Lonchura striata: one gene and its partners. The protein of the gene in region 1 purifies or fractionates together with the protein of each later gene. This does not show direct contact. Links are inferred from orthologs where the notes say so. Each region holds a gene or a part of one and is shown on either strand. Other genes may lie near its edges.

The links.
Region 2: the proteins of VAPB (region 1) and MIGA2 purify together in Homo sapiens (affinity purification with mass spectrometry; 3 studies listed by BioGRID and IntAct, counting the BioPlex papers as one, with this or other methods). This does not show direct contact. The link is inferred for Lonchura striata from reciprocal best matches to the Homo sapiens genes VAPB and MIGA2.
Region 3: the proteins of VAPB (region 1) and FAM83G purify together in Homo sapiens (affinity purification with mass spectrometry; 3 studies listed by BioGRID and IntAct, counting the BioPlex papers as one, with this or other methods). This does not show direct contact. The link is inferred for Lonchura striata from reciprocal best matches to the Homo sapiens genes VAPB and FAM83G.

Annotation. Positions count from the first base shown.
Region 1 is NC_134619.1:3,419,410-3,427,437, reverse strand, and holds the start of VAPB (vesicle-associated membrane protein-associated protein B/C), read right to left. Parts: upstream 3,017-8,028; 5' UTR 2,700-3,016; coding exon 2,642-2,699; intron 1-2,641. UniProt on the Homo sapiens protein: Endoplasmic reticulum (ER)-anchored protein that mediates the formation of contact sites between the ER and endosomes via interaction with FFAT motif-containing proteins such as STARD3 or WDR44.
Region 2 is NC_134624.1:199,377-206,363, forward strand, and holds the start of MIGA2 (mitoguardin 2), read right to left. Parts: upstream 3,090-6,987; 5' UTR 2,993-3,089; intron 2,929-2,992; exon of another isoform or gene 2,851-2,928; intron 1,865-2,850; 5' UTR 1,718-1,864; coding exon 1,622-1,717; intron 983-1,621; coding exon 772-982; intron 1-771. Other genes in the region: SH3GLB2 (endophilin-B2), read left to right, coding at 3,476-3,538. UniProt on the Homo sapiens protein: Regulator of mitochondrial fusion: acts by forming homo- and heterodimers at the mitochondrial outer membrane and facilitating the formation of PLD6/MitoPLD dimers. May act by regulating phospholipid metabolism via PLD6/MitoPLD.
Region 3 is NC_134618.1:15,831,045-15,839,074, reverse strand, and holds the start of FAM83G (protein FAM83G), read left to right. Parts: upstream 1-4,941; coding exon 4,942-5,436; intron 5,437-8,030. UniProt on the Homo sapiens protein: Substrate for type I BMP receptor kinase involved in regulation of some target genes of the BMP signaling pathway. Also regulates the expression of several non-BMP target genes, suggesting a role in other signaling pathways.

The sequences.
Region 1 (8,028 bases):
ATTTTTTTGCAAGCCTACAATGACCAAGAAGTGGAGGAAGTCACTGGCAAGCCAGTGAAGCTCCAATTTCACATGGTATCAGAGACCAGGACAAGAAGTGGGCACCTTCAGCCACCTAATGGTGTCCTGCCTCCCACGGCTCACAGCTGCATTTCAGCACAGCACACGCTGATGCTATTTTGGAGCATGTGTGCTCTGCTGTAGGAGATGCGAGGCGGGAGGAAAGACAACCCCTGCTCATGTTCACATGCTGTGAAAAAAAAATTCCAGCATGAAAAACTCCTTTGATATTTTTTTCAAACGAGACACAAGCACAAGTATTTTGAAACACAGCACCAAATGAATTTATGAGATTCACTGCAAAACCAAGGGGCTACAAAAGCTTCTTTAAAATAGACTTCAACCCTTACAAACTAAAAGTGCAGGCCATGGTTACAACCCCAAAGTGACTGGCACACATTATAGAAGACATCCTCATTCATGGTATTATTCTCGACATCCTACCTCTCTCTAAATTTTATACTAAAGAGCTACACAGAGCTTTTCAACAGCCTCAGAGCGAACAATTTTCTGCTTTTTTTACCTGCCTGCATTTGGATTCAGCCCTTTACCATTTCAGGTATTTGGTTTACAGCCCAATCTCAGTTTCTTACACTGAACACCATGTCTTTCAGCACACATCATGAGGATGCTTGTACCAGTCAGCAGCTCCATGACCTCTGTCAGCCTGGATGTACTTATACAGGGCCAAGGAACACTCTGGAAATAAATGCAACTATTTACAAAGGTAACAATATCATTTCAGCCCTGTCACCAGGCAGTATGTCATCACAAGATCAGCAGGGCAAGAAATGCTTAGAGCAGAATTTACTTCATGAATACTTCAGCCTGGAGTTTCCTGAATGAAGGACAGCGGTCAGCACTGCTTGCTAGAAAGGACTGTAAGGCAGAGGTATTGCCAAAGCATATGAATGCTGCCCACAGCATTAAGTCTGTTTGAACATTAATATTTAAGTGTACTTTGAAACTAAGCCATTTAATAGCTGCAGTTAGTCAAGCAGCATTTTATGTTATAAGAAGTATGTGTTACTAGCTAAAGATCTGGCAACCAAAAGCGCTATGGTTAGTTGATTTAACTTCAATGGCCACTAGTTATTTAGCCCAGAACCTCATCTGAAAGAAAGACAGCCTGACAAATTATCATTACTTCAAGAAAAAACAGTCTGGCAAGGTTTCTATCTACCTGTGATGAAGAAAAGAAAGAAAAACAAACCCTGAACCACAATTACATCTCATTAGCAAGTCAGCACCAATTAAGGCCCCACTTTTTGCCCACCTTGGATTTGGGTTTGCTTGTTTACTGAAAGCAATTTTGTCCAGAACAAGAGGTGATTTTAATCTAATCATACTTAACACAAAGAACGTCAAAACAACAATAGTTTTCTTCTTAAGCATGCTTGATACTGCTGCCATAACAACTTCAGCTTACAACAAAGATATATTCATTCCTCCCAGTGTTTATTAACAGGCTGTTAGATAAAACTCACTTCATATTAATAGTTCAAATATATTTATTAATAAAAACTGGTAAAGACTACCTCTATATTTAAAAATGTACATGAAAGCTTTTTTTAAAGAAGTATTATTTTTTGCCAGAGGCCAATAAACAAATCCCTATTTTTTAAAAAAAGCTTATTTGCCAGATAATTATCAAAGCTATAAAACACCTCTGACTCTGGTCACATAAATAAACTTGCTGATTGCTTATTTGTAATCCCAGAATATTGTATTACAGCTGTGCTGTCAGGCTGCAAGGCAGGAATTTCCATGCCAGTGGAAGCCCAAACCCATTCAAGACTTTTTAAAATAAATTAAAAGATGGATTTTTGCACAGGCAGACTATTCGTGACTTACTTAGCCAAAGAGCTTGCTAAATCATCATAATAATAATACTAATAATAAGCAGGAAAAGCCAGGAAGTGCCGCCCAGCACCTGGCCAGAGGCCTCGCGTTTTTGGCCAGAGACATGATCACAACCCCACAGCGCCTGGGACACATTTCAGAAAAAACCCTTATTCGTTATCTTATTCCCAACATCCTGCCTCCGTCTAGATTTTATACCGAAGAGCCACGCAGAACATTTAAACAGCTCCACTGCTAGCAATTCCCCGATTTTGTCTTTCGATGAAACCCTTTATCAATTCCTAGGGTTTGTGGCACCTGGGTTCCCAGTCCTGCCTCACGGACATCGCCGTCCTACATTACAGCGCCGATCTCTGGGCCGGGGCCGCGCACAGACGCGCGGCGGGGCCTGGGGCGCGCAGCCCAGCGGCGGGCGCTGTCCCGCGGGTCCCCCGCTGCCGGCCGCCGCCCCCGGGAAGGTCAGGCGGGCACACGCGGTGTTGTCGCTGCCGCCCGGGGAAGGCGGCGGCCGGGCCCCCCGCGCCGCGGCTGCGGCAGCGCTGAGGGCGGCGCGGGGGTCCCCCGCGGGCGGGCGGCGGGCGCGGCGCTGAAGGACATTTTAGCTGCCGGCGGTGCCCGGCCCCCGGAAAATGGCTGCCGGGGAGCGGGCCCCGAGCGCGGCCGCGCCGCCCGCCCGGCGCGGGAGCGGCGGCGAGGGACGGCGGCGGCCGCCTCGTACCTTTGAATTTGAGCTCGTGCTGCGGTTCGAGGCTGAGGACCTGCTCCGCTTTCGCCATGTTCCTCCTCCTCCTCCTCCTCGGCGGTGGCGGCACCAGGCGGAGAGAGGAAGGGACGGGGAGGGAGGGGAAGGAAGAGGGGAGAGAAGGAGGAAGGGAGGGAGGAGGGAAGGCGAGCGGGGGGCGCGCCCGCTGGCGGGTTCACTCCTCGCCCGGGTGCTGGTTCACCCTCTGCCGGCTGCTCGCTCGCTCGTCGCTCCGGTGCTGTTTCACCCTGGCCCGGGTGGCTGTTCGCGCTGCCCCGGCGGTCCCGGAGCGGGGACAGGCGCGGGCGGAGGTCGGGCGGCGGCTGGCGGCGCACACGCTGCCGGGCAGGGCGGGCGGGAGGCGGGATGATGCAGCACGGAGGGGCCCGCGGAGAGGCTGCGGCGGCGGCTGACGTGAGCCCGGCCCCGCCGTGAGGGGCCGCGGGGGGAGGCTCCGCGCCGCCGCTCCTCGGGCGCTCCTGGGGCCGGGGGTGCCAGCCCGGAGCGTTTCGGGAACAAAGAGGGCTCATCAGCAAAGTTTAATGGTCACTGGAAAGCGTGGTTTGCAATAAAAGCCTTGTGAAGCAGCGTGTTACTGTAGGCCTGACGCCGTGTGGCCTCAGGGGAAGCCCTCGGGCCCCTGCCCGCTGCCAGCGCCGCCGGGATTCCCGGGAAGCGCTCCCGGGAAAGGAGGAGCTCCCGGGCCCGCAAGGATCGGGGCGCAGCCTTACAGCGCCAGGGCAGCCCTGGGAACCGGCATCGAGCCGCAGGCAATACTCGCTTTTTAATGAATAAACCCAGAACTTCAGGTCACCTCAGATTTTAAGACATCCCCCCTCCCCTTTCTTAAAGTTTTGGGTTGCTCGTTGGGGTTTTTATGTTTGTTTTGGGGTGGTTTGTGGTGGATGTGTTTTGGGAATTTTTTTTTTTTTTTTGTGTTTAGTTTTGGTTGGTTAGTTTTTACCCCAATGTTTTAAAACAGTTTTTTGAAATTTACAGCATGGTTTAACATATAGTGCAGCTCTATTGATGGCCCTAGGCCAGTGTAATTACAGCAACACTAAGCTTTTTGCTCCTCTCCTCAGATTGTTTTAAACATTTGACAAATTCCTAAGAATTTATAAAGCACTGCTGTAACCTGTCAGAGGCAGGAGTTTGGGATGCCCTTGTTAGCAGCAGAAATATGCTGGTCTTAAAAACTGGAGTTTATGTACAGTAAAAAGTGTTCATTGGACTTTATACATACTGAACTTTATACATACATTACTTCAGGAGGAGATGCCATTTGCAGAAATAAAAAGCTTCCAAAGAAAATTCGTTTTTCATACCAGTATAATGTACATAATGCAGTGCACCTTTCCCTCACGCAAATTCTTTTTATCACGTTATTTGACTTAATAAATGCCAAAACTGCATAAGGTAGTTGAAAAGATCTAGAATTACAGCAAGAGCATTGTTCTCCTTTCTGGCAGTAAAAGCAATGTCAAATGAGTGATGTGTATGTTACAATTAACACCCCTAAGCAGGACAGTGGCATTCACTGCTCTGAGCACATCTGCAGTGTTTATACACCACACCTGTCCACCACAATCTCTGTTTTCCTGCTCATGTGCTTTACCACCTCCCATCCAATTTCATATTTTTTGTTCTCAGTTGTCTTTCATTCCATGCCAAAACAAACCAAACCCATACCTGTATTTAGTACAAAACCCTTAGTTTTGCATGATACAAGTGAAATCTGCCAACTCCTTCCAGCCAGGACAACAGGACTGATTTTTTTAAAGCTTCAGCACTGCAGGACAAAACACTCAAATAGTGCTCTTGTTCCTTAAATTCCTTTTTTTGGGAAAGAATGGTCACATAAAATCATAAAGGGGTGCATTTTCTTTTCCAGGAAACTAGATTTGGATGGTCTTACTATTTTTGCTCCTTGGTGGGGGGGAGGGGAGGGTAATTTTTAGCCTAAACTGCAGGTTATGTCATAACATTTTAGATCTCAAGTCAGGAGAGGATTGAGTTCACTCATACTTTGCAGCCTTCTTGGCTGGTACTGTGGGAAGGTTACTTTCCTTTACCTAATCTCTTATTTTATAAACACCTTCTATTTGTAAGCCAGGCATTCTTGGACCAGTAATTAGTAGAAAAGACAAGCTTTATATAGATCAGTAAGTTAATTGTGACCTAACGGCGAGGACTAAGAGAGAAAGCTTTACACAACATATAGTCATGCATAATAAAAACCCTTAAGTAAACAACTATTAAGTGTTGCTGCCCAGACCTTTCCCGAGTTCTACTTTTCCTGAAAGAAGTACAAAGAAGCCCCTGAAGCGTTATGATCAACCTCTTAAAGGATTTGCCAAGATGTATCACCTTGCCCTAATTGGCAGCTCTGAACTTACCTGTTTGTATTTGAAGGACTCGCCCACGTTTTCATCCAGGCTGAAGGTTTTATAAAGCACAGCACTGTTTAAGTTGAAAATTTATGAAGTCTAGTGAACGTAAGTTGTCAGGTTTTTGTTGCATGTAAAAAATGAGTGTACATTTAATGTTGTTCAGGTCAGATTCACTGACCTGCAATACCCCATCCCTGTTCCACAGACAGCTCTCCCTGGAAACAATTCAGCCACAAGACTACAAGGCAACTTCTTACCCACATGGATTTTTGATTAACAAGAGAAAATTGGGATGAACACTGCAGGGAAATGCTGGACAGCACTTGAAAGCTTTGTACTGAAACAATTTTAAAGAACAAGTTCATCACTTGCAAAATTTCTGCCTTAGAAGCTATGAAAGACTCGCTCCAAGTGAAACATTCTCATTGTGTGTATGCAAACCACACAATGGTGGTGGTTTGCATTTAGTTCCCAGACTCCCTATGCAAACATATACAAATGTCTTCTTCTCTCTGTTCCAGCATATTCCTTGTGGCTACCTTCCTTTGCTCTCCCTGATGCACATTCATGCCATCTTAGAAAAACCCCTCTGACACTATTCAAAAGCAGTTTGTTCACATCTAAGAGCATAACTTCAAAATTGCAGGTAACAAGAAATTTAAATTATTCCAGGTCTCTATCAAACAAAAGATGACATGGTATGGGTTTCCTGCATAGGAACTGCAGCCATTTGCTAAGTAAAAACTTGTACCCAAACTTTTTATGTGAAACAGGACTTTTTGTTTATTTAGATTTTGAAGGCTGTTATTAACTCAACAGATTAGATGTGCAAACCACATCTTTTAGATATCATGTAAGACAAGTGAGCTAACTGCAGCCAAATCCATATTTCTGAGGACTACATAAGCAACAGAGCAGTGGTATAAAAAAAGCAATCTACCAACCAGCTGGCTGTATTAACAAACAACAGAAGATCCCTTCCCAGCACAACAGACCCACGACACTATGCAGATATTAAAAGCACTTTACAGTTTTGATTGACAGAAACCTGGCCAAAGCAGTTGAGAACTGTGCAGTTCATGCAGTCTAAGGTAAAAGCAATGTATTAAGTAACTTGGCCCTGATAGAATTTGTCAGGCCTTGACCTGCTTGACAAGCCTGTGTGTGGCCTGCAGTTTCTCAGGCACGGTGCTGCAAAGAAAGGAAGTGTTACACAAAAGCTGCATTCTCTCTGCTGTTTCCCCCCATCCCTTCTTTGCACAGGATCTTCTGCCTTTGTCTGTGTGTACATAAACCAGGGAAAAGCTCCAGTTTCTGAACACCAGTAGTCAGGACTTTTGGAAAACAGCTATTCCAGTCATTTGTACATGTAAGCTATTGCTTACATTCCTCTTCAATAATTATATTGCTATAGAGACCATTTTTTAAGATGGGGAGAATTTTGAAGCATTTATAAATAAGCCAGCATATTTATAAACAAAGCTTTTTATTAATAAAATGTTTACACCTTTTTTCTTTTTTGCACAATACATCAGACTGGTAGTGATTTAGCATGTTATTACACTATAAAAATTTATTATGAATGCTTAGGCTGAAAAGGCTGTTTACATTATATCAAATCAACATTTCTTTATTTGCATTCTATGCACTATATGGGAGTGTAAGGACTCAAACAAAAAGGAGAGAACAAAAGCCTGGTTTTCCTCATTAGCATCTACAAACCAACAATACAGACAAACCTGTACACGCTCTCAGGACCAGCCCAAGAGAAGACTAAAAAAAAGTCTCAAAACATTCATATGCTTGGGAATTCATCACTACAATATTTCATCACGAGTAATCTGACTACACTTCATGCAGTGAAGCAATGGGTGGAAATTTGTGCAGTTTACAGTGCTGCAAATGCTCTGTAACTTTGAGCGGCTTAAGTTTGTTTTAGTTAGAGATAATATCGTAAGAAGGCACAGACCTTTCAACCCTTGTAACAGGTTAACCCATCCTAGAATGAAAAGGCAGAATGTTGTTATGAGTGACAAGAACTGCTGATACAAAGGTTAGCCTTAACACATTCCACAGGCAAACATTTATGACACTGCAAGAGCTCTATGCATATCAGGTTGTTTTTGGGCAAACAAATGCAGTTTCTAATTCAGAAAAACCCCTTTTTTTCTTCATTGTCCTCAGTGTGGAGGGCTACAAGTGGGAAGATTGCCAGGAAATCTTAAGTATCTTAGCTACAGAAATCAATCAATTTCTGTGCCTTAAATCAACTCCCCATCACGGTGTAAGTGTTGGATACACAATTTCAGAAAGAGGAAGTACAAGAAATAAAGCTAAAATACAGAAGAGCCTTACAATAACTTGCTCCTCCAGGGGAATTTGCTTTTAGCCTTCATTATGTGGTAAAATACAGTCATGGCACAGGTCTCAGCTGCTGTAACAGTTTCATAAGACTGTGCTAATGAATTACCCTTTTGCTTACAAATATTTGCTGCTGTGACAGATACTTCTAGAACTTTGTGGCAAAAGAGACACTCACCACCTATTGCTGTCTAAATCCCATAAGGAAACAAAGAACAAATTGCCCAGAAAACATAATGGATTTAATAGGAAATACATATTGTAACATCAGTAAATGTGAGGCAAGATAGTAGCAGTGAATCTATCAAGGTGTCAGAGTTACAGAATATTCAAGTGCAACAACTGGATGCAGTATCACACCCACAGTGATGAGGAGCACAACAGAGGAGTGGTCTATGTCCTTCAAGATTTGAAAAAGTTGGTCTGTTCAATAATACATATGTGAAAACATCAACAAAAGCCCAGAAAAGCAAACCCCAACCTTCTTAAAAGAAAATCTTTACAAAGGTAATTAGCTCCTTAAATAAAATTTATACTTAGTGTTTAAGCAAAAATTTAGGTACATCAATTTGCAGGTTGATGTAACAGGAACAGCAAAATTGTTTCTTC
Region 2 (6,987 bases), on another chromosome or scaffold:
GGTCACAAAAAAACAGGATTTTAGGCACAGGTGACTGCAGCAGGGAATAGGGAGGGGAACATCACCTTGTCTGGTGTAACTGTGAATGGGCAAAGCAGTATCCAATACCTAGAAATAAGCCATAGAACTCCTGTCTGCTCTGAGACTGGTGTCAGTGGGGATCTGAGGCTGAGGAATGTATTCACTGCTTATGGACAGCAAGAGGCAAGTGGAAACAATCAAGCAAAAACTCCTCCACCTTCCCTCAGGACAGGCAGAACACGGACACAGCTCCCTTGATTTTCATGTTTCACCAAACAAATGCTTAATCCCTCAAGTGCTTTGCTGAGGGTCTGGATCAGTCTTACCCCTAAAATCAGTACAAGTGGTGAGGAAGCTGCCCAAGGTCTGGGAGTCACCACAGAGCAGGATGGACAGTCCCAACTGCTCAGCCTGGCTCAGGCCACCCTCCCTTTCCCTCAGCTGAGCACTGACATCATGAGATCAATGCACGCAGGTCACTGCATGCCCGGGTCATTATTATTGGGGCAGCCTACAGAAAATGGGATGGGAACTACAAACCCCGGGGAAAACATCAGCACACCTTTTGTTCCCAAGACTGTGAGCTCACAGTCTCTCCCATTGCTCTCCAAACCCCAAGCTCATGGCACTGCTCTTCAGAATTCCCACTTCGTTCCGCATCAGAGCCCTACACAAAATGGCTTTGCTCTCCCCTCCCCATCGCTCCCTGTACAACCTCCTTGGGGATTTTTCCCTTTTTGCGAGGCCAACCTTTCTTCACGGAGGAGACCCTCCTGGTTGGCAGGATGGGCACTGTGATCCCTCCTGGTTTAAAGCCACACTTGTCCGGAGCAATTTGCTTCTTTCGGCGGCGCCGCCGCTTCAGCTGATGAGCTGCAAGAGCCAAGGCCACCGTCCCCAGAGCCGTGGCAAACAGCACCTTGCGCAGGCCTGGAGAGAGCCGCAGCTGAGAGAAGACAGACTGTAAACACAAAAGAAATGGAAGAGCAACAATGAAAAACCAATTCCACAGTTTTTTGGGTTTTTTTAAATTTTTAAAACAGTGTTAAACATGAAACACCTTGGTTTTACCCTGCCACCCATAAAACACGCCCTCTGCTACACAACTAAGACGTAGCAGCAAAGAGACTGTGGAGCATCATTTTGACAGGACCTGGAGAACTTGGGTCTCGATCCTCATTTCCAAAACATACTGCAAAATCTGCACACAGCCTGGGACAGATGCAATGCAGGTTACCCAAATTCAGCTCTGAAACATTGGTGTGAAGTTGAGCTTTACTGCTCCGAGTGCTGCATCACTACAAGTGGGGAACATATTACTGTTCTTTGAAAGACAAGTCTTTTTTTAGAGCCTTTGATGAAGAGAAAGACTGAACATGGATATTCTCCCAGGGAGGGATGTGGGAAGTGCTTTTCTCTCCTCTCCAAGCCCACTCAGAACAACTCTCTTCCACCACCCCAAACTCCCCCTGCAAGTCCTCCAATCCCTCAAACTGCCCAGGAACCCCAGCACCACCCCACTGTGCCTCCATCTCACACAGTCAGCCCCACAGAGTCAGCCCAAGGAATGTGACAGGAAAACCCTTCCTGCTCCTTGTACCTGCCCAAAGGTCGTGTAAACAAACACGGGGATCTCTGCCACGGTCATGGCCAAGGCCTGCATGATGGACATCCCCTCTGTCCTTCTGAATGCCATGTCTGCAGCAGGATCCTGGCACCTTCAGGAGCCACAATGGGGAAGGGCACTTGTGGATGCTGTGTGAGCTGCTCACAAAAGAATCCAACTTTTCTCTGACATCTGGCTCAGAGTCCTGGAGTTGGCCTTCATCCAACAATCCTCCTCCTGTGGGAAGAGGGGGGAAATCAGGTGAGTGAGGGGAACACCCGCCCTGCTCCTTCCTGCACTTTACAAAACACACTTTATGTCACTTGGAGCAGCGAATGTAAAATATCTTCTCACCACCAGCAGCAATTCCTTTGTTTGTCCTACTAACCACGGGGACAGATTCCCAAACTGCTCTACAGCAGCAGCACCCTGGGATTTGACAGCTCCCAGAGATTTCTACATGTACCAGACCTGGCTGCACATGATTGGAGGGATTTTGTTTGCAGTCCCCATATAAAAAAAATCCCAATTATCCCAAATAACCATACACACATTTTCACTGCCAAAACTGCTTTCACACAGTTTTCTGTGCATCACAGCCCTGCTCAAGAGCCACCAACCAAAGGGGGTTTGCCCAGGAGGTTTCAGCGCTGCCAGCGGGGCTGGGCAGGAGGGATGTGCTCAGGTCAAGGACGGAGCGACAGAAGGCACTGATGTGTGACCCCAGAACGCGGTGACAAAGCCCTGCCCCGCCTGACGCCTCCCCGCACCCACTGCCCCGGCACCGCAGGGAATGTTCTCCGGGCAGTGGGAGCCCGCAGACACCGCACATGGGCTCTCCCCACAAGGTTAAACACAACGTCCTGGCCACGGCAGGACGAGAAGAGCAAAGTGCCGGGAATTTTGGGCGCAGAAAGCAGCCTGGGGTTACCATACCGGGACAGGGAGTACAGGCACCGAGGTACCAAGGCAGCCCCTCTGTTTGCCATCTCCCCCAGCCCTGCCCGCCGTGGGGTTCAGCCCCCCGGCCCGGCGGGGAGCGTCCCACGGGACCCCCCGCACCTGCACTGCAGCACCTGGGCCCTGCAGAAAGCGCTCCCGCAGCCCCGCAGCATCCCCCGCACCCCTGAGCATCCCCCCGCGCCCTCGGGCGCCTCGCAGCCCTGCCGACCCCCGGCCCCCCGCATGCATTCACCCCGCGGGCATCCCCGCCGCCCGCGCACCTGGAGGTCCCGCACCCGCCGCGCCTCCCACCCCCATCACCGGCTTCAGCCGGGGTCCGCGGCTCGGCGCTCCCCCCCCACTAACGATGGTGCGGCCCGGCGGGCCCGGCCGCAGCGAGCGGGCGCGGGCGGCACCACTCACCGCGGCGGGGGGGGCGCGCGGCCCCGCTCGGCGCCGTCTCTCCGCGCCGCGCGCCATGGCCGCGGAAGGGCAGCGTCTCCTTCCCCCGCGCCGCAGCCCACCCCGCCGGGGGCGGGGCCAAGCGGAGATCCTGCCCCCGCTCCCATTCCAGCCAATCAGCGCGGAGAGCCGCCCGCCGCCGCGCCAATCGGAACGCGCCCGGCTCGGGGATGTGGCGCAGAGAAGAGGTGGGGAGCGCGGCGCGAGTTCCTATTGGCGAGCGCTGACAGCTCCCTCCGCCGCCGCCGCCGCGCTTAAAGGGGCCGCGCCCGCCGCCCGCGGCCCCGCCCGCCGAGGCGCTGCCGGAACGCGCGGACCCACTAAGAAGCCGTGGCCCCTTTAAGAGGCGCGGGGCAGGTGTCACCCGCCGCTATAAGAGGCGGCGGCGCGGCGGGCGCGGTGACAGCGGGGGCGCGGCGCGGCCGGGGCGGCTTCGGGGCCGCCATGGAGTTCAACGTGAAGAAACTGGCGTCGGACGCGGGGGTCTTCTTCTCCCGCGCCATGCAGGTGAGGCGGGGCGGGTCGCCACGGCAGCGGCACCGCCCGGAGGACGCGGGATGGAGGCGCGGGGGATCCGCGGGTCCAGGCCCTGTGGGGCCGGGGGGGTTTCGCTCGGGCCCGGGGAGGCGGCGGGGGGAGATCCGAGCTGGGCGAGTCCGTCGGTGTGAGCCGCAGCTGCGTCCCCGCGGGAGCATCGCCCCCGGGATGCTCGGGGAAGGTCCAAGGGAAGCCCCGGTGCTCGGAATGGGGAGGGCGGCGCGGGGGGACATCCGTGCCTGGCGCTTGCTGACCTTAAAGAAACAAAGCGGTGTGATCTGGCATGCGGCTGCTTTGTCCGTGCCCGGAGCCGTCGGGAAGGGATGCGGAGATCTGTTGGAGCTGCCCGGGGAGGACGTGGAGTCTCCCACTCTGGAGGCATTCCGAACGCACCTGGACGCGTTCCCGTGTCGCCTGCTCCGGGTGACCCTGCCCTGGCAGGGGGCTTGGACGGGATGTTCTCCAGAGGGCCCTTCCAGCCCCATCCTTGTGGGATCCTGTGGGATGGTCCCTGCCTTGGGAAGGGTGGTGGTGTCCAGCACCTGGTCTGCCCTCCAGCCCCTAGGGAGGGGCAGGAGATCCCAAGCCCTGGGAAAGCACTGGGATGCTCAAGGGATGGGAAGGAGCCGCTGAGAGCCAGCAGGTCGGGTCTCACAGGGCTCTGAGGCATCAGGACTGCACGAGGAAATGGCAGGAGCCCAGTCGGGGGGTTTAAGTTGGAATTAGGAAAAGGTTCTTCCCCCAGAGGGTGGTGGGGCACTGAACAGGCTCCCCAGGGAATGGTCCCAGTCCCAGGGCCGGCAGAGTTCCAGAAGTGTTTGAACAACGCTCTCAGGCACACAGCAGGGTTCTTGAGGCTATCTCCGTGCAAGGCCAGGAGTTGTACTTCGATGATCCATGTGGGTCCTTCCACCTCAAAATATTCTGATATTCACAAACTTGAAATCAGGAGCTTCTGGGGATGAAGTAACACCCCCCGGAGCTGTGAAAAAAATCAATGTACACATGAGCATCAGACGTGCAGCAGGTGGTGAGATGGAGTGCTGAGTGTATTCATTTCTTGGGCATAATGACTGAAAAACTGCTCCTGTTTGGCCAGGAGAGGAGAGAGGCAGGTCAGAACTGGTTGGGATCCTGCCTGGAAGGTGAGGTCCAGCTGGTGGCTCTGGGACTGGGCTTCTTGCTCTGCCTATTGTGTGGGGGCTGGTAAACAAAGAGAGCAGAGCTGCCTCGTTCCAGACCTTCTGTGCAGTGGAGTAATTCTGGCTCTGTTGAGGACCGGTCTCCTGTAAGCAAATATCACCTCCTGTAACCATGCCAGTGAGTCATATGTTATGAAAAAGGGAGATATTAACTACAGGTGCAAAATAAGGAGCAGATGGAAAACCTAAAGATGCTGTTCTCATGCAAATGACCTTGGATGCAGAAGAAATGCTGGAAAGAAATCTTATGTTTAGAAGCATTATTGTAAGTCTCTGATAAGTGTTTTTTAGCTGCAAGGCGTAGGAAGGAGACAGGCCTGGGAACAGTGTCTGCACGCAGTGATTCCAGAGCAAGGAGGCGTTTATAAATCGTGGCTGCTGCCTGCTACACCTACTCCACTGTCTCGTACATGAATATTCATATGCTTAATTGCAGTAGTAATTGCTTGAAACCAAACAAGTACTGGCACTTGTGGACAGTGAGCAGGTGTGTAAGGAGGGGTAAAGAGATCTCTGAGGCTGAATACCACCTCATGAGGGGTCACTGCTGGGGGAATTCAGCCTTTTTGGGTGCCCACGGAGCCCTGGTGTGGGTGAGCCCTGCCCCGTCTCCCCCAGAGCCACCTCTGACAGCTGAGCTCTGCTGTGGGCAGTGAGGGCTGGGTTTGTAGCCCTCTTTAGCACTGCAGATGTTCTAGGATGGGAATAAGCTGTCTAGAAAAAGCTGTTTTCTGTAGCAGTTGGAGATGCTTTCTCCAGCTCCAGGCATTTAACAAAGTGATGTTTTACTGGAACTGCAGTGACTGGGAGGGAAATGGACTGGCCATTATGTGCTGTTCCACTCAGACAGCATTTGCTCCTGCTCTGTCTGGCAGAGCTGTCTGACCAACACAGGAGCTTCACTTGAACTGGAATTAGAGCTCAGCCAGGGGGAAAGGAGACAGGGCATGGTCAGCACAACACCTCTGGGCTGGCTCAGGGCAGGAGCTGGTTTGAAATCTGTCAAATACAACCCAACATAGGTGCTGCAAGAATGATTTTGGACAAGGCTCCCCATGACAAAACCCCAATCAAAACAGCTCAAACCCATTGCTTCCTTTACCTGCTCTTCCTTCTTTAGGCTTCAGTCAGAGGACTCCTCCAGAAAAGCAGAGCAGACAGAAAAGTTGGGGTAGGAAAGTAGTGGACAGCTCTGCTACCCTGGGAGTGGGGAACGAGCTTCTAGGCTGGGGCACTGCAAGGGTGTAGAGCTTGTGTGGGATTCAGCCTTCACCTGAGGATGGCCTCTGTTGACACCTGCACCAGTTGCAGCCATCAGATCTGTGAGGGGATGCAGCACCTGCAGACAGACTCCTAACAGGTCACTCTTCATCTTCACTTGAAGAAGGGCCTCTCTCTTTGATCAGATGCACCTTCCAGTTATCCTCAGTGGGTCTGATCCCAAACCTTGGCCAGTGGAAGCTGTGTGGTCACACATTGGATGCCTCTGTTCTATACAGGCTGCAAGCTCTGTCCTCCTCTTTCAGGGAGGTCTGGAAATGGCTGTAGGTGTCTGTCTTTTGTCAGTTCTGATGTGAGCAGGCTCTGGGTGAAAATGCCCAAGGGTAAATACAGCTTTTGGGTGCATATCCTCCCCTAATGTCATTACTAAAAGAGCCAGAGGCTGACTTACTCATCTTGAAGCCCCTGCAGACAGACAGACTGCCCCAGCTCCCAGGACTCTGGTGATAACATAGACTTTTATCATTAGTAGATAAAATAAACCCTCTGCTTGCCAATCTTATTAGTGCTCACCCTTTAAAAGTTGAGAGAGCAGAAGGTGACCCAAGGAAAGGACAAGGTCTTGGGAGGGACACAGCCAGGACAGCTGACCCAAGCTGCCCAAAGGGCTATTCCATACCATAGGACATTGTTCAGCAATAAAACCTGAGAGAGAGGAGGAAGTGGGACATTATTATAGAGCACATTTGTGTTTTGGAGTAACCTGGACACATACTGAGGCCCAGCTTCCCAGAAAGTGGTCACATGTTATTTCAGATGGGAAGAAGACAAGAAAATCTTTTGGTTTCCTTTGCTTCCACACACAACTTTTTTTTTTTTTTCATTAAACTGCCTTTATCTTGAGCTATGAGATTTTTCCATTTTATTTTCAACTCCCCTGTTCTGCTGAGGAGGGAAATGATTGAGAGGCTTGGTGGCACCTCATGTCCAGCCAAG
Region 3 (8,030 bases), on another chromosome or scaffold:
CCTCCCTGGTGGGTGTGGGGGCAGCTGGGACCTCCTGACAACTACTCAGGAGCCAACCCACGCTGAGGAAAACCTCACACAGCTTTTTTCCTTCTGCCCAGCACATTTCCTTGGCTCTGTCCCTACGACCCGCAGCGTCCTGCTCGCACTGAGGGACCTGCCCGGGATCCACCGCAGCCCCGGGCGGGCAAAGCCCTTCGCAAACATTCATTATCCATCCTGGGGAAAGCCGTCCTGCCTTGTCACACCCTTGTCACCGGCAGCCAAGCCAGGGAGGAGCTAAGCAGGCCCTGAGCCAAGCGCCCCTCTTCCCAAGGGGCACAACACGGGACCCCCATTCCCCGGGATCGCTGCCCATCCCCTTTCTGGAAGGGGATGTGGAAGATGCCAAGAAAAAGCCGCTGCTGCAGCCGCTGCTCCAGCCGAGCCTCGGCACAGCCCTGACCCAGATTGGCTCCTTGTTGTTGTCTCCCCGGCCGGTGGCACCGAGCCGGGCATTCCCCGGCGCTGAGTGCGCCGCCCGGGGCACCCCCGGGCACCCCGGGATGTGCGGGCAGCGCTGCCCTCCGCACTGCCCAGCGCTGCCCTCCGCACTGCCCAGCGCTGCCCTCCGCACCCATCCCAGCTCCAGCGCTGCCCTCCGCACCTCCACATCATTTGTGGGACCCCCAAACACAGACCTTCCCACACCATCTATGGGGTTCCCCCAAACACAGACCCTCCCACACCATCCGTGGGACCCCCAAACACAGACCTTCCCACACCATCTATGGGGTTCCCCCAAACATAGACCCCCCCACATCATCTCTGGGACCCCCAAACACAGACCCCCCCACATCATCTCTGGGACCCCCAAACACAGACCCTTCCACACCATCTGTGGGACCCCCAAACACAGACCTTCCCACACCATCTATGGGGTTCCCCCAAACACAGACCCCCCCACATCATCTGTGGGGTCCCCCCAAACACAGGTCCCCCCCAATCTCCAAGCCCTGGCAGCAGCTCTGGGGTGCAGCAAAGCCCAGTGGGGATGGAGTCACCCCTGGCACCCACCTACCCCTGCCATCAGCTCGACCACCAGCCTGGGGCAGGCGATGCTGGAGCAGCCCAGGGTGGCCCCGCACACACGGGTGCACTCCTCGGGGTCCACACAGCCCACGGAGTCTGGGGGACAGAGGCAGGTGACAAGCTGAGACCCCTGACAGGGTGGGGGCCAGCCCTGCACCCCTTCCCCCCTCATGCCCCCTCCCACTGGGCAGATGTTGAGCCTTTGCCGTGGCCACCGTGGCCAGACCTTGGCAGGACAGCGGCTGGAGGAGCAAGGAGCACATCCCACCCGAGAGCTGAAAATCCTCCTCTGCTCCTCACTCCCACCCGCAGCTCCAACACCTCAGGGCCCGTCCCACCCCTCGCCTCCCGCTGCCCAGCCCAGTGCAGGTTGGATTTTTCCCACATTAAACCCAGTGACAGCTGCCAGGGGGAATCTCCAGAGCCAGAGGCAGCAGAGCCCCGGGGCCAGCCCGGTTCCTGCACCCCTGTGGCAATTTCCTGGGCATGGGCAGCACCAGCAGCTCCTGGGATTTGCGTGGCAGCGCTCCAGGACCATCAACACCCAATTATTTCTATGTCTCAACGAGTGATGAACCCTTTTTTTTTTTTTTTTTTTTAATTGTTACGCTCATAAAATATTGAAATGAATGGAAATTAATGTCAGGCATTAATATGGATGGGCTGCCCGGCTCTCCGGGCTGCACCCGCCCAGGCAGGAGCACGGGGACGAGCACGGGTGATCCCTGCACAGGACTGGCAGCACTGTCCTGGTTCTCCTGCCCGGTGACCTCCACCAACGAGCCCTCAGCCTCCCAGTTTGTCCCAAACACTGGTGGTGACACCTTGGCACCTTCCACAAAGGAGCACGGGGTGAGCTGCGAGCACGACTCGGTTGTGGGCAGACCACAGGCCGTGCTCAGCACATCCCAAGGATGCCAAAAAGCCCAGCCTGGACTCAACCCTGAGGTCAGAGTCAGCGCTGAGGCTCCAGTGACTCCTTCCTGCAGCAGCCCTGAGCAAAGCTGCCATCAGCGCTCTGTGCCTCAGTTTCCCCTCTCTAAAACACCACGTTGTGCACGGCTCCATGCAAATCGTTGGTGGCTGGAGGGTGGAAAACGTCCCAAAGGGCAAGGCAGCGTCTGGATGTTGTGTTCCAGCTGAAATGCCTGCCCCAGGCCTCAGCTCTACCGAGGAACACTCGGTGGCACCTCGGCGTGAGTGGGAAGCAGGATCCTCCGAGCCAGGAGCAGCGCTCGGTGTCATACCCCACTGCCTCACTCTCAGGCCCGCTGCTAAAAATGGAAAATTAGTTAGGACCTTGTAATTAATGCTTCCATCTGCAGGAAAGGGGCCGTGTCTGCAGCGGGTGCTGCCTGTCCAGCTGGATCCACCCGGGGACGCCTGGAACGATGAGGACCAACCTGCTCAGCCACAGCCAGCCAAGCCTGCAAACAGGGGCTGCACCCAATTCGGGGCCTAAATTCACCACGTGGGGTGAAGAAACGCCCGGGATGGGGAGATGGGGGACCCAGGTGAGCATCAGGTGGAGATGCTGCAGGTGTGGGGTTCTGCCACCCCAACCCGCCCCCGCCAGCAGAGCCAGCACATGGCGGCTGGGATGCAGCATTTACCCCACATGCAATAAATCATTAGTGCACACACACCCCGTGAAAGAGTCTGTAAATCTCCTGGCACAATAAAAACACCTGGAGCGAGCAGCTCAGGCGGCCAAAACCACAACACGCTCCTGCCACGCCACACACCCACACTCCAGCACCCATCTGGGCCATCTCCCATCACACCCAAAGAGGTCCTGGGTGCTGGCTCAGTGCTCACCTCTGTCCATTTGCTGTCCCCATCGCTGCCAGCAGCGCTGGGATTTCACCTAAAACACCCAGGTTTGGTTCCAGCCCCCTCAGTCTCTGCTGCAGCAGTCAGTGAGCAGGCCACAGCATGGGGATGTCATCCCACCCCTGGGAAATCCCTGCAGGGTCAGCCACAAAGTCACCAGCTCCACCTGAAACACCTCCTGAGCTGATATTCTTCGGGAGCCAAGCACTTGGATCTTCCCCAAGTTGATGTGGCACTTGGGGACGTGGTGTAGTGCTGGAGCTGGCAGCGCTGGGTTGGACTCGGTGACCCTTTCCACCCTTAGTAATTCCATGATCCCAACAAACTGCTGCCACATTCCTGTGTCCCCCAGCCCTGCTGCACCTCCTGCACAGGCCAGGCCAGGGCTGGGCACAAGCCCACGCAGGATTTGTCACTGTGGGACGAGCAGGGCCACTGTGCCTGCAGAGAGGAGCACTTTGATGGCCCAGCGCCTGGCCAGACAGGCGGCTTTGCCCCAGGAGCCTGACTCAGGCAGGGCCCTCATTTATCCGGCTGTGAATCCAGATGAGCCACGCCAACGCCAGGGACAGACACACAGCCCATGGCACTTCCCTTTTTTTGCATTGGCGCAAGAATCTGACCCCAATTCCTGAAATTCGTCTTCAGCTGAGCTTCCAAGAGAAAAGCTCAAGAGAGCTTGCACAGTTCTGGCTTGTGAGCACCAAGTGGTGAATCCAGGGTGGGGTTTTTTGTCCATCTCACTGTTACTAATGAGACCTGTCACAGCCAGATCTGGTGATGTGGCCGTGACCACGCTGTAGAAAAAGGGAGAGGACAAGACAGGACATGACAGGACAGAATAGAATAAATGGTTTCATTTGGAAGAGCCCTACAACAATCATCTGGTCCCACTGCCTGACCAATTGAGGGCTGACCAAAAAAATTAAGGGCATTGTCCAAATGCCTCTTAAACACTGACAGGTTTGAGGCCTTGACCACCTCTCTAAGAAGGTTGTTCCAGGATTGGAACACCCTCTACGTAAAGAAATGCTTCCAAATATCCAGTCTAAACCTGCCTCAGCGCAGCTTTGAACCTTTCTGGCAGCTCCCACTCGGTGCTGCCCACCCTGGACCCACCCTGGCTCCGAGCTCCTGCACCAGCACAGGAGGGGTTAACCACAGGACAGAGCTCTTTGGCTGGGAAATATTGACTTACCAGCCGGCACAGCGGGAGAGGGGGGAATCTCAGAGGGAGATTTAAAAAACAAATAAATAACGAAACGCCCAAACCCTCTGGAGCCGCCCAGGACCCTCCCACACCCGGGCGCTCCGGGGGGCTCCGGGCGCCGCAGGTGCGAGGGCGCACCAGCCGAAAGAGTTAATCGGGCTGGGCAGGGAACGTGTGAAGGCAGCATGTGACTGCAGGTGGGGCAGGGCGGAGGGATGAATCACTCTTTTCCTTTTCCTCTTTTCACTTCTCGCTGTTACCTGTCCGGCCCGGCACTGCGCGCCGGCAGAGCCCCGAGCCGAGCGCTGCCGGGGCGATGCGCAGGAGGCCGGGGCTCGGCGCCGAGCATCCCCCGCTCCTCCGGGAACGAGAACCGGCCACGGCACCTCGGCCGACACGTCCTGCTCCTCGCTGCCCTGCCTTTAGCCGCTTTTCCCTTTGTTTCTTCCCCAGTTTTTTTTATTTCATCCGGTGTTAGCGTTGTCTTGCGAGAGCGGAGGATGAGGAGGGAGCGGACGCGGGGGTGAAGGACCTTCCCGGTGCTGTAGGTACACCTGAGCTGTCTGCCCCAGCCTGCTGGGGGAAGCTCCGCGTTTTCCTTGCCAGAAAGCAAACCCTCCTCCCCGGCAGGAAGAGCTCCGGCGTGGCAGGAGCCGTTGGAAAAGGGAGCGGTGCCTCCGCCGAGCTGCGCGCTGAGCCGGGGAGGGTGAAGCGAACTGTGTGTTTAAGGACTGGAGAATAATTAATTCCTATTTATTGCCGACAACGCGGCGCTCGCCGGCGGCACAGAGCTCCCTCGGGACAGGGGACCGGCGTGCGGGGTCACCATGGCTTTCTCCCAGGTGCAGTGCCTGGACGACAGCCACGTCAACTGGAGGTCCAGCGAGTCCAAGCCCGAGTTCTTCTACAGCGAGGAGCAGCGCCTGGCCCTGGAGGCGCTGGCCTCCCGTGGCCCCGACGCCTTCTATGAAGTCCTGAAGAGGGAGAACATCAGGGACTTCCTTTCCGAGCTGGAGCTGAAGAAGATCCTGGACACGCTGGAGACCTACGACCCCGGCTCCGAGTACATCCCGCGGCACGGCAGCAGCGGCGGCGGCAGCGAGGGCGACAGGAACAGCCAGGGGGACGAGCAGGACGTGGCCCCGTCCCTGGAGTACTGGCCCCAGCGGTCCGACCGCTCCATCCCGCAGCTGGACCTGGGCTGGCCCGAGACCATCGCCTACCGCGGGGTCACCAGGGCCACGGTCTACATGCAGCCACCCATCGAGGGCCAGGCGCACATCAAGGAGGTGGTGAGGAAGATGATCTGCCAGGCTCAGAAGGTGAGGTGCGCCGCGGGGACGGGGCAGGATTGGCCCCAGGGCATCGTGCTCCAAGTCCTGCCCAGCCGGGCAATCCCTGTCCCGCGGGAAGCTCTGCCCGAGCAGAGGCAGCGGGGCCAAGCCGGCAGGTTTTGCCCTGTAACCAAGTGCTCGGGGGTCGGGTTTTGCTGGGGATGCTGCCAGCCGGGGTCAGCACTCCTGGCAGCAGCACAGCCCTGCCCAATATCCACCCAGCAGCTCTGTTCATCTTGGGGTCCCTGCAGGGCTCTGGGGAGAAAAACGGGTTGAGCTGTTCTCCAGCTGGTTCCAGCCACTCCACACTCGTTATTCCCGGTGTGACAGCATGCAGGAACCTGGGATTGTGTCCTGGTCTCAGCCCTGGGTCCACCAGCTGTCCAGTATTGACCCTGGGGTCATGGCCCGGCCTCAGTCCTCGTGTCCACCATCCGTCCAGTCCATGGCCCTGGAGCAAAGTACTCAAAGCTTCTGGCCTAGCACTGACCCACACGAGGGTCAAGCTTGGCCCAAGATGGCTGTGGGGCTCCAAGCTGGCTCACCCTGGCTCTCAGAGGACAAGGATGAGCTGGTGAGCAGGAGGGACAAGGCTGGGCAGATGCTGAAGGGATTTGGGTTGAGACTTGTCCTCCCTGTGGCACCAAGCCGAGGAGCAGGGAGTGGGGATGCATGAGCCATCACCCAGGGAAGGAGGGAGATGGTGGCCTGTGCTGAAGGCCAGCAGAGGTGGGAAAGTGCTGCTGGTGTTTCCCAGTGACCCAGTCCCAGGAGGGGTTGGTACCTGCTGGTTTCTTGGTGCTTTGAAGCTCCTTGGGTTCTGTGAATCCAGTACCGTGAGAGCTCCAAGGAAGGAGCTTCCCACCCCAGAGGCTGTTCCAGCAGGGAAACAGGGAGAGCCTGGAGCAGAGGGGACAGGCTGGGATGCACCAGGTCTGCCTGGCTGCTCCAGAGATAGTGCTGGGCTTTGCAGATCCTGCTAGGAGAGAGGGAAACCTGTGACATGCAGCCAGCAGAGCTTCTCCAGACCAGCTCAGGCAGAAAAATGAATCTCTCAAAACATCCAAGGCAGCGGGATCACGGGAATGGCTGTTGGGGGTGTCAGGGCTGGGGGCAGGAGCCACCTCTGGCCACTGTCACCTGGCAGAAGTGGAGGTGACTTGTGCTCACCTGTGACATTTTCCCCGCCAAAGGGGCAAAGGGAAGGGAGAGCTGTGGGCTGGAGGATGGGAGAACAATCCCACAACAAACAATGGCTCATCTTCGGGTCTTTGCCTACTCACCGCTTCCCAGCTGCCCCCATGCGGGCAGCTCCTCCTGAGTCATCCCACACCCTGCTCCTGCTCCCAGGGCTGAGTCAGGCACATCCCCACCTCCCCTGGAGCCTCTCCAGGACACGGGGACGTGGCCACGGTTGATGCTGCTGTGCTCATCCCCGGTTCTCCATGGCCCCTGAGCAGGGCTGGGCTCTGCCTCCCGCCCCAGACGGGCCCTGCCTGTGGGATGAGACATGGTGACACCACTGGGGACACGCAGGAGCCTGCTCGGAGCTTCTGGTGCCTCAGGAAACGTAGAGATGGGTGAGTGCTGAGTGCTGCAGGGTCTGGGGTGGCAGGAGTTACAGGAGTGGAGTTCTTCCATGGTCTCCCATCCCGTGTTTCAGCACAGATCTCCTTGCAGCTGAGCCTGCTGTCACACGGCAGAGCCCAGGTGACAACTTGTGGGTGCTCCTAAGGGTGGGGGACACTGGGCTAGACCACCCTGCTGATCTCTGCCAGGGCTCAAGGTCTTCGCAGCAGCTCCAAGGTGAAAGGGTTTGGCTGAGGAAGCTGAGAGTGGACAAAGGCACCGTCCTGCTGCCACCCTCAGATGTCACACACGCTGTCCGTGTGCTCTGTCCTCCCTGCCCCAGGGCTCTCCACCACGTGCAGAGGAGCACAGGCTTGGGAGAAGTTCACAATTCCCTGACCCTTGCTCCAGACGCCGTCCCAGACGCTCGCTCTGCTCTCGGTGCCAGTCGCTGTCCCATGGCCGGGAGAGCAAAGTCCTGCTGCTGGCCCAGGCGAGTTGAGAGCTCAGGAGAGCAGTGCTGGGGCTGGGAGGTCACCCAGGCTCCCAGGGTGAGGAACCCCAGGGATGTGAGGCTGCTCTGAGGGTCACAGGAGCCCTGGTGCTCACAGGAACGAGCCCAAACCCTGCCGAGTTCAGCGCCTCGGACCCAGGCGTGCCAGACAGGGAGATGCAAATGATCCTCTCCTCTTGCTGGGAACGAACAGGAGAAAGGAGAGGCAGGATCCTGTGGCCACATCCCTGAAAATCATCTTTGTGGCCCCCAAGCAGAGCTGCTGAGGGGTTTCACCCGGCCGAGCCGTGGCGCAGCCGTCTCCTCCTCGCTGCAGATCCCCGGGGCTGCCAAGCTCACAGCCTGGACACCAGGAACAATTTCCTCGTGGAAAAGCTGGTCAGGACTGCAAGGGGCTGCCCAGAGAGGTTTGGAGTGCCCATCCTGGAGGTGTCCCAAGGAATTTGTGGATGTGGCACTCGGCGCTCTGGGCCGGTGACGAGTAGTGATGGGTCCAAGG